Oryctolagus cuniculus: one gene and its partners. Each later gene encodes a partner of the first gene's protein in a complex. Links are inferred from orthologs where the notes say so. Each region holds a gene or a part of one and is shown in the gene's direction. Other genes may lie near its edges.

Region 1 (4,069 bases):
CAGGAGCCAGGAGCTTCTTCCAGGTCTTCCATGTGTGTGTGTGGGCCCAGGAATTTGGGGCCATCTTCCACTGCTTTCCTAGGCCATAGCAGAAAGCTGGATCGGAAGTGGAGCAGCCGGGTCGCCCATATGGGATGCCAGCACTGCATGGAGCGGCTTTACTCACTATGCTACAGTATTGACCCCTAAAATAAAATCTTCTATCTGGGGCCAGAGCTGTGGCAAAGGGGGTAAAGCTGTGGCCTAAAGTGCCAGCATCCCATATGGGCGCCAGTTTGAGTCCTGGCTGCTCCACTTCTGATACAGTTCTCTGCTGTGGCATGAGAAGGTAGTAAAAGATGATCCAAGTCCTTGGGCCCCTGCACTGGCATGGGAGACCCAGAAGCTCCTGGCTCCTGGCTTTGGATTGGCGCAGCTCCAGCCGTTGTGGCCATCTGGGGAATGAATCAGTGGATGGAAGACCTCTCTCTCAGCCTCTGCCTCTATAACTCTGCCTTTCAAATAAATAACTCTTAAACACACACACACACACACACACACATCGTCAAGAAATACAAGCATTTGAAAGATACCGATCTGTAACACTAAACTTTTCACACAACTGAGCACGGATTTAAAAATGAGACTTTCAGTATCTGTAGTCAAGAAAACATAGGAGATGAGCACGCTTACACACACGATCTTTAGAAGCCAACTAGTAATTTATCTGAATGAGTATACTCTTCATTCATCACTGCTACTTCAGGGAGTTGAACTCACAAAAGCACCCAAATGCCCAAAGGTGTTCTTAATAACAGGAATTGGTCATTAGGTCGCATACATGGGACGTTACGGAACCTTTATTAAGTAAATACCGAAAAGATGTTCGTGACATACTCTGTTGGAACGTGAACGTATTTCTTTTTAAATATCTTTTTATAGAAGAAAGTGTAGAAAACTGTAGACAGCAAACAGTTGAGAGATTATATGATCTTGGTATGTGTGTGCTGGGAGCCAGTGATTCTCCCCTCAAAGCGAGAGGCTTAGAAACCAACACAGCGCACCAAGCTCGACGGTCACCCGGTGCTTCGTCGCCCAGACATGTCTGGCGTCCGCCCCAGGAACTAAGAAAAACGCGGGGCGGCTGGCAGTGCGTCACCCTGTCGGCCTCCGAAGGCGCGCTGTGCGCCTGCCCCGCCCCCGCTTCAGCAGCCTCCAATGACTGCCTTTCGGGGGCGGGCTTTGCGCGGAGCAGGAACACGATTGGTCCTCAGGATCCCTTCCGCCCAGCCGGTGGGCGGGGAAGCGTCGTGACGCCTTAACACGGGGCGCAGGGGCGGAGAGCGCGCGCTTACAGACGCGGCGGCATTAAACGGTAGCCGGCGCTGCGAACCAGTCGTCGTCTTTCGGGGGGTCTTGGGTACACGCCGCTGTATTCGTCCGCTCGTCCTGAGCCTCGCGAAGAAGTTTCAGCCAGAACTTTCTCCTTTACTCGCCTGCAGCCGCGACACTGCGACCCCGCCACCATGTTTGAGGCACGCCTGGTCCAGGGCTCCATCCTGAAGAAGGTGCTGGAGGCACTCAAGGATCTCATCAACGAGGCCTGCTGGGACATCAGCTCGGGCGGCGTGAACCTGCAAAGCATGGACTCGTCCCACGTCTCCCTGGTGCAGCTCACCCTGCGCTCCGAGGGCTTCGACACGTACCGCTGCGACCGCAACCTGGCCATGGGCGTGAACCTCACCAGGTAAGCCCGGGGCTCTGGCCCACCGCCATCCCCGGCTCTTGGCGGGAGCGCCTTCGAGGCGGGCCCTCATTGGCTGGGGTGGGCCACCGGCGCCTTCTCATTGGCCTGCCACGGCGGGAGGCGGGACCCTGGGGAGCGCGCGGTTCCGAAAAGCCCGCGCTGGCCGCCGCGCGAACCGGCTCTTTTCCGCGCCAACGTCACAAAAGCGAGTGGTGGCGGGAAAACGCCTGTCGCGGAGCGCTCTGCAGCCCGGAATGGGGAAACCTGTGGTCGTGTTGACTCGCACTGCGTTGTTACGTGCTCTCGTGGCAACGTGTGGCTCTGTGTCACCCTTCTTGGGCCACATGATGTTTCTGGGTCTTTATTACACGGTCGCACTGAGCATCCTAAACTGGATTTGTCCTGGGGACATTTCCCCGGGGCATTGGCTTTCAGCTTCCTGACTGCTCCCTGTCTGGTCCGTGTATACGGTTAAGTTTTAAAAGGCTCGAGAGAAATAACTCCTAGTGCGTGGGGCGTGTTTCAGGTTTGTTAGCTCACTTAATAACGGTCGTCGTGGCCCACTAATTTACTAAACCCACTGGAGGGATTTACAGTGCACAAAATACTGCTGTTTATGTGTTACACCCAGAGCTGAAATTGCTGGTGTGTTCCGGTGTTAAGTATTAGTAGGACCGGGTTGCCTTCCTGAATGGTGCTGGACCCCTGAACCCAGCCTCCAGCCAGTTTCCCCTCACCTGTCTATCACACAGCCTGAGGGGTGGGCATGGTAGCTCCTGATTGCGCTCGGAATCTAGATTTAGAGCAGATGGTGTTGATTGCAAACCGTATCTTGTGTGTTGTAGCATGTCCAAAATACTAAAATGTGCCGGCAACGAAGACATCATTACACTGAGGGCTGAAGATAATGCGGACACCTTGGCGCTAGTATTTGAAGCACCAAGTAAGTCATAACCTTGTACTGAGTTATGCTATAGGGAACTAAAATCTCTCTTGATTCTCAGCTGTGAGAATTTTAAATTTTTTGTGATGGTCGTAAAAATTTACATCATGATTATAAAACATTTTTCTTAACATTTGCTTTCTTTTCGTAGATCAAGAGAAAGTTTCAGACTATGAAATGAAATTAATGGACTTAGATGTTGAACAGCTTGGAATTCCAGTGAGTATCAGCTTCTGATTGCACATAGTCATCAGTTACTTAAGATGTGTTAATATAACCTAATGCCTACTGCCTATATATCTAGATTTTCTTTTTTTTTTTTCAAAGCAAGATTTGTATATTTGTATGACAGTTGTCATTTTACTAAACTGTAGCAGCCTAAAACTGACTGTGGGGTGAATTCATTTTTTGCTGTGGAGTGCTTACTTGCATTAGCCTCTGTGCGTCTTTTTTTTAATTAAGGGTGGGCTTATCACCATTAAATGAGAACAGCTGTTGGGAATGTTTAAAATGTAAAATGCATAATGTGTTTTCACTTTTAAGTCTGCCCCATCACTACTGTTCGAAACCCTAATATCCTCTTGATTTGGCTCTGGAGGATCATTAAGAGGTTCTTGTATGATTATTATGCCATACTACTTTTAGTTGGAGTGTGAGTCATATACTAACCAGTTTTTAATTAAAGATTTGAGAAGCAAAGTGGCAAACAGATGAAAAGAGATCTTCCATTCACTAGTTCACTCCCTAAATGGCTGCAATACCTAGGCCTGGCCCAGGCCAAAACCAGGAACCTGGCATTCCCTCTAGGTCTCCCACAAGGGTAAAAGAGGCCCAAACACTTGGGTCATCGTTTGCTGCTTTCCCAGGTACATTATTAGCAGGAAGCTGCATCAGAAGCAGGGCAGCTTGTATTTGAACTGGCATTACAGTGTGGGCTGCCTGTGTCTGCAAATGAGTTTAACCTGCTGTGCCACAATACTGGTCTCTAGTAATGTTTTAAAGAAATCAGAAAAACCTGAGATCTGAGTTTAGACGTTTGCTTAAGAGTGAGGATGTCAGATTTCCAGCAGTTAATGTTAAGTTTGTTTTATAGGAACAAGAGTACAGCTGTGTAGTAAAAATGCCTTCTGGTGAATTTGCACGTATATGCCGAGACCTCAGCCATATTGGAGATGCCGTTGTAATATCCTGTGCAAAAGATGGGGTGAAGTTTTCCGCCAGTGGAGAACTGGGAAATGGAAACATTAAGTTGTCACAAACGAGCAATGTTGATAAAGAAGAGGAAGCTGTAAGTAGTAAAGTTAGATTTAGCATTTCTCAAATATTTTGGAGAATTGTAATGTCCAACAAATTAGGTTAATTATGAAAGGTAAAAATAAAAATGCATTCCAGGTTACTTG
Region 2 (3,511 bases), on another chromosome or scaffold:
ATGCCCACAACAGCCAGGGATGAACCAGGCTGAGGCCAGGTGCCAGACATTCCATAAAGATCACCCACATGGTTTGCAGGTACTTGAACCATCACCTACTACCTCACAGGATGCACATTAGCAGGAAGCTGGACTGAGGAGCAGAGCCAGACTTGAACAAGACACTACAATTGCGCTGTCTTAAGTGCTGTGTCTAGTGCCTGCCCTAGCTGGACTGAGTTCCCAACGCCTGGTTTCAGGGCATTTGTAGAGGTGAACCAGCAGGTGGAAGATTTTTGTTGCTCTCTTTACCTGAAATACACAATTTTCTTTTCAAAGGAATAAGAGACTACTAATTTTTACTTTTTATCTTGGTAAAAATAAATACTTTTGTGGTACATGAAAGAAATTTAAAATACAAATTATTTAAAATGGTTTCTTATTATTATGCAGCAAAAGCATTATTTCCTTTTTTTGTTTATGGAAGCATCTCATTTTGTTTCACTTTTACCATTGAGGACATAGCCAAGAATGTTGCTACAGAGCTCAAGGTCTACTCATTCATAAGTAAAAATAATTGTATATCCTTATCAAATGATAAGTCTACACATAAATATACATACTAAGTTAATAGCAATAGATGTGTGGAGTGTGTTTTCTCTCAATATTCTGTGTTGAGCATACATGGATACTCGGTTTTAGCAGAACTGAAAAAAATATCATTTCTCATGAATGTTTGAAGATGACTGTTGTAAGAAAAAAGTCATTCTCTAGAATACACTTCAGCCAGAACCCTCATGTGAGGACCATGGTGGCACTGAGCTGTCACTGTCACTAGTTCTCACGCACGTCATTGTGACGTTGTGATAACTACTTTTGTTCTGTGCCTTTGGATATGAGGCCCAGATGGAAATGACTGAACAGTTTTGCAACAGGGATGGTGATTTTTCTTTTTCTTTACATTTCCATGAAGGCACGAAGTGTGAATGTGAAGAGCCAAGCTCCTTCTGGATACAAAGATCAGTTTAGTTTGGAGATTACAGGTCCTATCCTGCCTCATTGTGTGCATTCCGTCACCACGCTGCTCCAGTCTTCACAAAGCGGGTCCTTCTCGGCAGGACTCTATCCACATGAGCCAACTACTGTATTTAATATATGCCTGCCTATGGATAATGTACTGGATAAGGTGAGGCGACAGGTGTGAACCGTTTCCCCGACCAGCTCTCAGGGAAGTCACTTCTGATGAGCCACAGAAACTGTGTTATGAACTGGTCAGAAGGCATATCTCTTGTTTTTGTGTCATATCTTATGAATTTAGCCTTTTGTACTAGTGACAGTAACTGAAGAACTTTACAGCTCTTAGATCCAAAACTTAGTGCCTGATTCCTTCAGGATATAGAAACATGACTACTTAACCATATTTGCCTTGTCTTGAAAATAAGTTTTGTTGAGATTGTAATCAAGGCCTCCCTCTATTGCCTGATGCCTATCAGCTTGCTAGACTTAAAACACCGCTGCAAAATCTCCTAGGATCAACTTCTGTTGAGCTGAATGTGTTAGTATGAATGTTCAAAACTAATGTGTTTTTTACTGACTTGTATGCAAATTTCCACAGGAGGTGGTACACAAAGAGCTTGCTAACTGTGGGTTGCATCCTAAGACTCTGGACCAACTCAGTCAAATACCGTTACTGGGGAAATCATCTTTACGGAATGTGGAAATGAGTGACTACGTTTATAATTGGAGATCCTGAACACCAAAGTAAGCCTAAAAGGAATCTTTGAGGAAAAAAACCTCCTAGCAAGGAAATTCAAGATTCTTGTCTTTGGCCTTAAAAGTTCATTTTGCAAGTTGAATATTAACTTTTATTACATGCACTGAGCAGTAGCATTAAGGTTTTGAGTCAACTTTTTATTTTAAAGTTAGGTTTCCAGATATTGAACATAAGTTAAACTTTTTTCAAAACACTGAAAATTCTTAAAAACTGAGTAATGAGAAAGACTAAACCTGTAGCAACTATTCCCACTGTGACTAATGGCATCAGTGCAAAAATACTACTTTCATAAATCTCTGTTAGAGAGTTCTTGTAGAAATAAATGTAGATAGTAACTACTGAGCTGATTCTTGATGCTTCTGCTTTAGCACTTTTTGCTACTGATTTCTAATTCTATTTTTAAATACACTCAAAAAATGTTTTAATGCATGTCAATCCAGACAAAAGGGCAGTTTGTATGCCATACAGAATAGTGATGAGCGTTGTAAAACATGCTTAGCTGCCATGTAGCACTCTTCAATGTGCTCGTAGGTGTTTGTGTGTATGTGTGCTTCAAATTTAAATAAAAGTGCTTAGAAATCGAAAGCATTGGGTAAAGAAATAACAGCATTTAGTGAAGAAGTATGTGTTTACTTTATAATCCAGAAAATAAACCACCACGTTTGTTCCAGAGAAGTTTGTATTTGGGCCTTAAGCTTTTGAAAATAAAGTTTAGAGACATAGCATATGAATACCACTGTAATACACATGAAATACTCTATCAGACCCTAAAAATTAACATAAACTTTCTCATAGTCAACAAAATAGTGGCTGGTTGCCAATTTTATTAGATAAGTTGGTTACAGCATTGTAATTATCATTTTACATCTATCTAGGTGTAGCTGAAATTCAAAATGCACATCAAAGTAAAACTATATCACAACTCAATGCCATACTAAACATACTTGGCCTCTGCAGAATTCTAGTCAGACTTCCTCCACTCTTATGACCCAAGTGGCTTTAACGGGAATGCAGGACTTAGTGCTGGTCATCACACAACATACCACTTTTCTTTTTATAACCTCTACAAAATTTTAAGGGGAGATGGTGGCATTAGCCCTGTGGAACAGATCTTGCTTGATTACCTCAATAACACTGGCCCAGTATCTGTCCAGCAGAACCCATTGTGAAATAGTACAAGGTGCACAGCCCTTCACTGATTACAGGCAAGTGTTACAGCAGCCTAGCCATAGGAAGGGGAGTTACATCATAGTACAAAATACAGTATAAAAGCGTTATTTAACATTCCACACTGAAGATTACTGATGCCTTCAAACAACTGTTTGGATGTTAGCCACTTAAACAAATACATCACTAAGGTAAACAATATAAACATACCAAAACCCTGTATGGTTAAATACAATTTCCATGGTACAAAAATCAAAGCCTGGAGATGTTTGTACAGATTGCTTTTTACACAATGTCTTAAATTGCCAAATATTTACAACATTAAAGAGGAAATACATTGTGATGCAGAGTAAAATTATCTGAAATGATTAATATAAAACCTCAATCTATCTACGTGAGGCACTCCTGAAGCAAGTGGCATTAGCCATGAGGTCCTTTGGTACAAGGCCCATTGCTTGAAGAACCACAGTAGCAGCTGTGGCTTTAGCATGCTTCTTATTAGGGCTGGCAAAGCTGGGCTGGTAAGCGCTTCCATTTATCAATACCTATTCAAGAAAAACATACAATTGGGCTGGTAAGGGCTTCCATTTC
Region 3 (3,982 bases), on another chromosome or scaffold:
AGCTGGGAGACCATGGGAGACTGGGACTTAAATATCTCCAGGAGAGTGTGATGTAATGAGAACGGCCTCCATGTCTTAATGACTGCAGCTGTACCCTCACTACCCTGAACCGTTCCTGGCCCTTGGTAGGCTTTTGCCATCTTACAGATAAGGAACCAGATTCTGAGTGGTTAAACAACTTATAAAACTCAGTACATAAAAAATCAGACTCAAGGGGCCAGGGCTGTGGCATAGTCAGTAAAGCTGCCGCTTGCAGTGCCCGAATCCCACATGGGCATGGCTTCAAGTCCTGACTGCTCCACTATGGATCCATCTCCCTGCTAAGGTGGCTGGGTACAGCGGTGGAAGATGATGAAGATGGCCCAAGTGAAGTGACCCATGTGAGGGACCTGGAAGAAGTTTATGGCTCCTAGCTTCTGGCTTCGGCCTCGCCCAGCCCTGGCTGTTGCAACCACTTGGGAGTGAACCAGTGGATGGAAAACCTCCCCCAATCCCCGCCCCGATTCTGCCTTTCAAATAAAAAATAAAAATTTAAAAAGAAATCCAGATTCAAATCTGGAGTCCTCTAGAGCTTGATTGCTTATTCACTATGCTGGGGACCTTGGCTTATCCTAAATTTTTGGTGATACTATGAGAAATTCTCACGCAATTCCCCAACCTGAAAATTCTCCTTGTCCTCTTTAACTGAGAAGGACGTGCATGCAACCCTACACACAGCCTCCTAAGGCATGGAGTGCTGTGGCCTCGTCAGATCTCCTCTCTCCCTGGCTCCTTCTCCCCCACATTCCCGCTATTCCCGCTATCTGGAGCTTTCTCTTCCCGGCAGCCGCTCCCGCCTCTCTCAGAAACGCCCCGCCTCCTTTACCTGCTTTGAAGAACTTCTAATTCTTTAACTGTGCATTATAACAGGCAAGTATTGTATTCCAGCCGGCCCTACTCAACTTTTATCTTTATCGTCCAAAACTGTGGCCTGCCTGAATAGGTTCCAAATATTTACTGAATAAAATATCGCGAGGCAAGGATTCTTTTATCAATTCACAGATGAAAAGGCTGTGGCTCCTACAGGTGCGGTCACTCAGCGGCGGGGTGAAACCCGACACCTCCTCTCCACACACACCACACACAAACCCGCCCCAACCAATGGCTCTTACTGGCTCCACCCACTTCACCCTGCGCCGTCTCCGTGACTAGTTTGACCCCTGGGCGGCCGCCGTAGCGCGTCGCTTCGGTTGCCGTGGGAAACGACCCGGGACCTGGGAGGGAGTAAAGACGTTTCCCGCCGGCGGGAGCTGCCGCTGTGACTGAGAGGGGGTACCCCGAGCCGGCGGGGCCGATTGCTGTGGCACCATGGCGGACCAGCTGTATCTGGAAAATATAGACGAGTTCGTCACGGACCAGAACAAGATTGTGAGGAGCGAGGGCCTGGGGGAGCAGGCGTGCGACTGGGGTCCTGGGCCGAGCCAGGGCGGTGGGGGCCTGGACCCTCGTGCTTGTGGTCTCGTGGGGGACTGGCCGAGAGGGGGGACAGGTCCCCGTCACCGCGTGCTCCCGGGGCGAGCGAGGACTCGCCGGGGAGGTCTAATGGCGCGCGCGGCAGCGGGCGTTCCTCGGGTAGGCGTGTTGGGGGCTGCCCCGGGGAGAGGCCGCGGGGGTTGAGGGTCTGTCTAAGGCGTCCCTACGCCGGCTTGACCCGGCGGGTGGCGTTTCAAGCCCCAGGTTTGCCTCTGAGGAAAGTGTGCCTCAGCCGTGTTGAGGGACGGTCTGACCTCGGGTTTCCTCTTCCTGGAAATTGGAGTATTGACGGGGGCGTGACCCGCCTGGCGGGGTTGGTGTCCTGATCGGAGGGGAGGGAGGCGAATGCGCCTTGCGAGGCGTGGTAGTGAGCGCCCGCTGGGTGCCGGGGCTCTGTGGCTACGCGCTGTTGCCCGTCATCTTTGCCTCGGCCCTCCCCACCCCCACCCCCGCCCCAGGCAGGGAGTCGTATTCCTTCGGGGAACCCCGAGGCCAAAGAACGAGTTCGGTCGCTCTTAGAGAGGGCGGCGCCGTCTTCGAACCTAGGCCTGGCTCTTCCACGAGTCCTTCGAGCTCGCCCCGGCCTGTGCCTGACCTGCCCAGGTCTTTTGATTATGGCAGCTCGGCCTGTAGCGAGCTTTAGCGAGAGAGTGACAGGCGGACGGGGTGGAGGAGGGCTGCACGCTTGGTGTCAGTGGTTCCCATCTGACCCGCTGCGGTCTTCATCCCGACCCCTGCACCGCCTGTGCCCCTAGTGCTCGTCCCTGTGGCTGCAGCTTTCCTGAGCGATTTCTGCATCATACGCTTGGGAAATCATTTAGCTCCTAGGTGAGTTTTCAGGTAGTTTAGGCCGGTGGTTCCCCCACAAAGGCAGAATCTAAAGAAAGGCCTAAGTGAAACAAGGAGCAAGAGGAAAAGGAGAGCTCTTTCTTTACGTGTATTCGGACTGTCTTTGTATGAAGCAGTCTGGGGGGAAAAAAACACAAACTTTTTGTTAGTGTTTGTAAAGTAGATATCTTTATTCTGCCAGCCCAGGTAGTTCTTGACAAAACTGTGGTGGTATTGATTGCAATTGATAAGGCACAATCACACTCACTTAAGATTACTGATCTAGGCTCTGGGGGCATTTCATAAAACATTCTTGAAAATTGCTTCTTCTTGCAGGTGACGTACAAATGGCTGAGCTATACACTAGGGGTTCATGTTAACCAGGCCAAACAGTAAGTCCAATTTACTACCAATTTTAATCACATAGAGGAGGGTTTTGTTTTGTTTGTTTCTTGTTTTGCTCTTTAGATAGCTCCTAGGATAGAACTAATTTTCTTTTTTTTTCCTGAGTAAATGGAAAAAAACACTTATTTTACTACCTCATATTTTTGTCTCTTTTAGGAGACTGGTAGACTTGATAACAAAGGTGTGGTGTGATCAATTTGCTGGATTCATTTGCATCCTTGGCCTGCTGTGAACATGTTTGTTATTTCAAATTTCTTAAATGAATTAGTTCTTTTTGCATCTAAAATTTATATGTCTGTTATCTTACGTCTTCACCACATTCTCATATGTGGGCCTTAGACCCATCTCCAGATGTTACTGGAGTACTTCATAATGAGGTCAACAGGTGTTCGACGCAAGCTGTGTGACAGGGTGAGCGATTTAAGTGAAACTGGAAAGGGAGTGTTTAGGATGGTGTATGGCCTTGCCTTTCTTCAATTTAGTGCCATGTCACCTTTCCTTGCCTAAATTTGGGATCTAACCCGAGCCCAAAAGAAAAGGTGAGCTTTTGAATTCACTTCCAAGATGTGGATGATGTCTGTGACCCAGGGGAGGAATTAGTGAACTGGCTGAGGATACATATATTGGGTTAAATTCTCATTTTGTTTGTTTGATTCCTAAGGGTGGTCTGAAGTTTCTTCTGGAGTCATAGAAACCTAGAGTCATGAGAACTTCCCACAAGTCTCAGAAAATCCCTGACTTCTAGAATGGGTTGATTTGGTTTTATTGGGTTAAGCACATCTAGGAGTCTAATTTGGGGTGTGATGTTAAAGCTTTCAAAACCCAGAAACTCTTATATAGGGATGGATTTGGATTGATTTTGACTAAAATTGCGTAAGACTAGTTCTGGCCCAAACCCAAGAGCTTCAGTTAACTTTGTCAGTGGATACCTATAAGAGTTATTGTCTGTTACCATTATGGGTATTTAAATAAGAGATGAAGCACCTGTTAACCTGTTGGGGTTTAAGGATGAATAATGACTGGATTCTCTGAAAATGAAATAAAGATGTATGCAATTTTAGTGGAGGTACCCCAATTACTTGTAATTTTTATAGCATTAGCACACTAATTCCTACCTGTGTACCCAACTTTACCTATACCACTCTCTGTCTCAATTGTGATACTCTAGCCATATTTGCTTTGCTTTCCTTCAGTTATGTGAAGTCATTCTCACCACAAGAACCTGTACCTTTCTCTC
Region 4 (4,108 bases), on another chromosome or scaffold:
TACCTTACACGGAGAAATGATTGACCCAACCAGCCAGCTAACCCCACACGGGCAGGAATGAAGTAGGCTGTAAGTCAATTTCACTTTAGGGGAAGGCTGGGGCAGGGGAACCCTGCCATTGAGAAGGCCTGGGTAGAGAACCAGGAGCTGAGAAAAGCTAATGATGTCGGAAGAGATGAATGAAGTACACAGAAATCTACGTTTCCACAGGCAGTAGACAGGCGGGGCGTCTTTCTGGATCCTCGCCACCTACCAGTCGCCCTTCAATCCCGGTGGCCCCTAGAGACCGCCTCGTGCAGAGGCCGCTTGTAGTCTTGGTCATTGGCCTCGATGTCCTTGTCTCAGGCCTGGGGCAGATGGGTCAGGATGTCCAAATGCCCGTAGTAGGCGGCACAGTGCAGCCTGCAACTCCTCGTGCTGGGCTTGCAGCCGGCCCTCCTGCAAATGCTTGCAAAGGCGCCATGGGTTCCCGGAAGAGACCGTCATTGCAGACCAGGCTGGGCAAAGCTAAGAGTGGATAGGGACTTTCTCTTCTCGCAGGAGAACCCCCACCCACCAGCTTCTGTCTCCAGCACTGCTACAGCCCCCAGTGCTTTCACACCCTGACTCCTGCCCAAGGCCAGGAAGAAACAGTTCAGAGCGCAGGGTGCTTGCTGATTCTTCAGGGGGCCAGGCAGTCGACGGTGAGCACTCTCGGGGTTGCTCTGCGGCGTGCTACCTGCCAACTGCCTGTCAAGTGTGCTTGCCCTAAAGCACGGAACGCACCCAGGTCGGGGCTCCGGGCGCCTCCTCAGTCCTGGAGCTTGCTGCACAGCTGTGAGTTGGACCCAAAATGTCAAAGAGTGAGGATGGGGGCGTCGCCCTACCGCAAAACCCGCAAGCGCGACGAGGATGCCTGCCAAGCCCACATGGCCTTTTCCACCATAGCCTGCCTGACAGGGAACTGCCCAGGGATGACTGCTGGGCGGCCGACCCCCGGACGTGCAGCCGCTCCTGCTTGCATGAACCAGCCCGCTGCCCGACCCGCTAGGCGAATGGGTGGTGTTCCATTGCTCCACCTTCTCCCAACCCCTTCAGCAGCACTCTCCGCCTCCTCGCCTGCCCGCAGACCTGGGGACCAGCGGAGCTCTAAGGAACTCTGGGAAAGTTGCCCCTCTCCTCGGGGGCCCGACCGGAAGCTCAGACCAGGCGTGGTGCGCTAGTGACGGCCGCGCCCCCTTTGGAGCGCATTTCTATTGGTAGCGGCGGCTGACCGTCAGCGCGCCCCTTCCGGTTGCCCGTCCCGATTGGCTCCAGAGGCGATCCGTCGGCTCGGGCGGCGGATGCTACACTCGGCTGCTGCGGGGTGGAGCTCGCGGAGGAAGTCGGCGGCTGTCAGAGATCACGGTCCAGCCTGGAGGAGGAGCTGGGTGGTTGGAGACGCTGGGCTGTGGGGCCGGCGGCGGCGGCGGCTGCGGCAGCGTCGGCAGCCCCAGTCCGGAGCGCCAAAGTGCGTGAGGCCGCGGACGTGGCACGGAGTGCGGGCGGGTGTCAGCCGTGCGCGGAACTTACCCTTGTGGGGGTCCTGCGCTGGGGTTCCGGTCTCGGGGTGGGGGGTCAGTGGGTCTGCTGGGAGAGCCCGGCCAAGCCCTGGCTGAACCTGGGTGAAGGGGCGCGGCCCCGGCCGGCAGCGGGCAGGTGGAGGGCGCTGCAGGCTGTGCATCGGGGCGGCTGGGGTTCCGCGTGAGCTCGGGCCAGGCCCTCGACCCCTCACTGCTCCGTGGGGCCCAGAAGGGGTAGCTCGGCGTTTCTCGGCGACTGGAAGAGGTGGCACGGTAGACGTGGCCGCAGCTGTTGGCAAGCCCGGCTTTCGTTTTGTATTCCGATGTTTTGACCTTGGGCGAGTCGTTTTTTGTTGCCTTGTTTGCCCTTGCTTTTTTTGGTAGCCTCCTCCCTCCTTGTCCGAAGATAAGGTTAAGGTGATGTGGGAAGGCCTTGAACTTTTGGGCTACACTGAGCTCTTAAAAAACAAACAAAAAAAAGACTATGGGTGAATGAAGAGATTTGGGTAGGTGTTGACGTTCCTTACCTGACCTTATGGATAGTGGTTGTTTGCCTCTTGATGTTGTCAGCTCCTTTAGAGGGTAAGAGGAGAGTTGCTGCTTTGTGCCTGGGTTGTAAACAAATACCCTTTACATTTGATATTGCACTCTGTGGTTTGCAGAGCACTTTACATTAATTATCTCATCCGCAAACGATCCTGCAGAGCATCGCTCTGGTTTTACAAGTGAGGGAAGTGGGCCTTCTTGAGGATAGTGGTTCTTTCTATTAGTGATTCTTTCTATATTATAAGTGCGGGCAAGAAGATCTTCTGGAAGGAAAGGTGGTAACATCTACAGAGTGTCCTACTGCCTGACACTGCAGAAATAGGCAGAGATAAAATAAAGAGAGATCTCTGGTAAGGGTCAGTGAAAGGAAGCCAGTCAGTTTGGTTAACTTCCTGAATAATATGTGCAGTCACTGGGGACAGAATAAGTCCTAGTTACCAGCTTTGCCAAAGTTACAGTTTCATTTATCCTGTCACTCTCCACCCACTCCCCAAACTCTCCTCCCCAAAAGTAGGGAATGAGTAAAGGTGCTTTGAAATGTGCAAACCTTAGGACATGCCAAGCAGTGTTCTTACTGCTTGCTCTTGGAGTCAGTGCAAATTGGAAGTTAAGGCATCCAGGAACTTCATACTTTTTTTTGCTATTAATCCTCCTGTCCATCCCCCATGGTTCTGATTATAAATGACCTTCCTTTGCTTGCTTCATGTCTCCAGTTTCCTTTGATTTTTCAGCAAAATTGAGATACATGGGCCGACAGTCAGATGGAATATTGAAAATGTAGGACAGTTTGCTACTTAATTGGTGTTCCAGATGCAATTCAGCTTCTCCTGTGTTCTTTATAAACGTCTTTTGGCCTGTGTCCCCTCTTTGGATAACAGGAAAATTCAGTATGTGACTTCACACAGTCCCTGTGGTTTTCCTGGAGCACAAGCTTGGTGTAGGGAGAGGATCTGCAAGTAAGCGAAGAGACAGGTGGAGCTTTTCCCAGTTGGACTACCCTTTTCTTTGGGACTTTGTGGTTTGACCTTATTGTCCATTTCACATGGCGTTGTGGTTGGTGTTGTGATTTGTTACCTGGATGTCTTTCCTTTTTTTCATGTTGCATTTCCTGAGCATTCAGCTGTGGCCACTGGAATACTGATTGGTTGACATGTTTTGTGATTTGTGAGTGTGCATAGACACCAAACACTCTCATGAGACTTAGAATTCCAATTTCAGATTTGTTGCCAACATTTGCTCTGCTTACTACATTTCTGTATCCCTTATAGGCTGATTTGTATTTGGAAGCTGAACTTGGATTCAGTTTTACTGTTCTGGTTGTGAAATTACTTCTAGAAATTTGTCTATTACCAAAGCATCACAAACCTTACGTCTTCATCTATCATTCACCTGCCTTTTGAAGACCAGTCTGCTATTTCATAATACTTCCTGGAGCTTAACCTAATATTCCATAGATATCTTTAAAACAGGAAAAATAATTAGCATCCCGCTCACTCCAGAAAAGAGCAATTAAAACAACACTGTTTCTCTTTTATTCTTATAATAGAAATATGTTATCTCTTCTGCTCTTTCTTTTTCTCCTAACAGTCCTGTCAGAAAGGCTTCTTGAGACTCTGCCCAGTTGCCCTCTGCCCAATTTCTGTTGCTCTCCGGCCTTTACCGACTCTTGCCTAGGTTGGTACAGTGATTTTATGACTTGTCTTCCTGACAACTTGCATGTCTGTTCGTCCTCTGTGAATGACTAGGTAATGACTCTTGTTGAAAACTGGGTGAAACCTTGAATGGCCTACATGATAAAGTGCAGTCTCTTTAGCAGTGTGGTTAAGGACCTGTGTAGTGGTAGCTCCAGATTCTTCCAGATGTGTCTCCCATCATTCTTCATCTTGGAACCTCGTGTTCTGACAAAACCCACCTTTTTGGCCACACCAAAGCTTTGTTATTTCTCCATATTTTTGCACATATTGGTTTTTCTGCCTAACTGAATCCCATTCATTTTTCAAGGCTCAGCTCTTTATAAAGCC

Evidence for each region. Proteins that work in one complex are often made in the same cells at the same time.
Region 2: PCNA (region 1) and DONSON share a complex: the UniProt entries of both Homo sapiens proteins name them as parts of the replisome complex. The link is inferred for Oryctolagus cuniculus from reciprocal best matches to the Homo sapiens genes PCNA and DONSON.
Region 3: the proteins of PCNA (region 1) and POLD3 are in contact, whole or in part, in a crystal structure (PDB 1U76), measured with the Homo sapiens proteins. The link is inferred for Oryctolagus cuniculus from reciprocal best matches to the Homo sapiens genes PCNA and POLD3. Residues at the interface, in NP_002583.1 of Homo sapiens: Met40, His44, Val45, Ser46, Leu47, Glu124, Gln125, Leu126, Gly127, Ile128, Pro129, Thr206, Ala208, Asp232, Val233, Pro234, Tyr250, Ala252, Pro253, Lys254, Ile255, Glu256, Asp257; in NP_006582.1 of Homo sapiens: Ala453, Asn454, Arg455, Gln456, Val457, Ser458, Ile459, Thr460, Phe462, Phe463, Gln464, Arg465.
Region 4: the proteins of PCNA (region 1) and F-box DNA helicase 1 are in contact, whole or in part, in a crystal structure (PDB 8F5Q), measured with the Homo sapiens proteins. The link is inferred for Oryctolagus cuniculus from reciprocal best matches to the Homo sapiens genes PCNA and FBH1. Residues at the interface, in NP_002583.1 of Homo sapiens: Met40, Ser43, His44, Val45, Ser46, Leu47, Leu126, Gly127, Ile128, Pro129, Ala208, Asp232, Val233, Pro234, Tyr250, Leu251, Ala252, Pro253, Lys254, Ile255; in NP_835363.1 of Homo sapiens: Ser56, Gln57, Arg58, Cys59, Ile60, Pro61, Phe63, Phe64.

Annotation. Positions count from the first base shown.
Region 1 is NC_091442.1:30,190,193-30,194,261, reverse strand, and holds the start of PCNA (proliferating cell nuclear antigen), read left to right. Parts: upstream 1-1,265; 5' UTR 1,266-1,505; coding exon 1,506-1,726; intron 1,727-2,571; coding exon 2,572-2,669; intron 2,670-2,820; coding exon 2,821-2,888; intron 2,889-3,762; coding exon 3,763-3,957; intron 3,958-4,069. UniProt on the Homo sapiens protein: Auxiliary protein of DNA polymerase delta and epsilon, is involved in the control of eukaryotic DNA replication by increasing the polymerase's processibility during elongation of the leading strand.
Region 2 is NC_091435.1:11,427,792-11,431,302, forward strand, and holds part of DONSON (protein downstream neighbor of Son), read left to right. Parts: intron 1-952; coding exon 953-1,165; intron 1,166-1,594; coding exon 1,595-1,732; 3' UTR 1,733-1,740; exon of another isoform or gene 1,741-3,306; coding exon of another isoform or gene 3,307-3,511. Other genes in the region: protein SON, read right to left, coding at 3,307-3,465. UniProt on the Homo sapiens protein: Replisome component that maintains genome stability by protecting stalled or damaged replication forks.
Region 3 is NC_091432.1:65,786,976-65,790,957, forward strand, and holds the start of POLD3 (DNA polymerase delta subunit 3), read left to right. Parts: upstream 1-1,174; 5' UTR 1,175-1,347; coding exon 1,348-1,407; intron 1,408-1,817; exon of another isoform or gene 1,818-2,340; intron 2,341-2,676; coding exon 2,677-2,732; intron 2,733-3,982. UniProt on the Homo sapiens protein: Accessory component of both the DNA polymerase delta complex and the DNA polymerase zeta complex.
Region 4 is NC_091444.1:77,494,870-77,498,977, forward strand, and holds the start of F-box DNA helicase 1, read left to right. Parts: upstream 1-1,300; 5' UTR 1,301-1,488; coding exon 1,489-1,489; exon of another isoform or gene 1,490-2,047; intron 2,048-3,674; exon of another isoform or gene 3,675-3,761; intron 3,762-4,108. UniProt on the Homo sapiens protein: 3'-5' DNA helicase and substrate-recognition component of the SCF(FBH1) E3 ubiquitin ligase complex that plays a key role in response to stalled/damaged replication forks.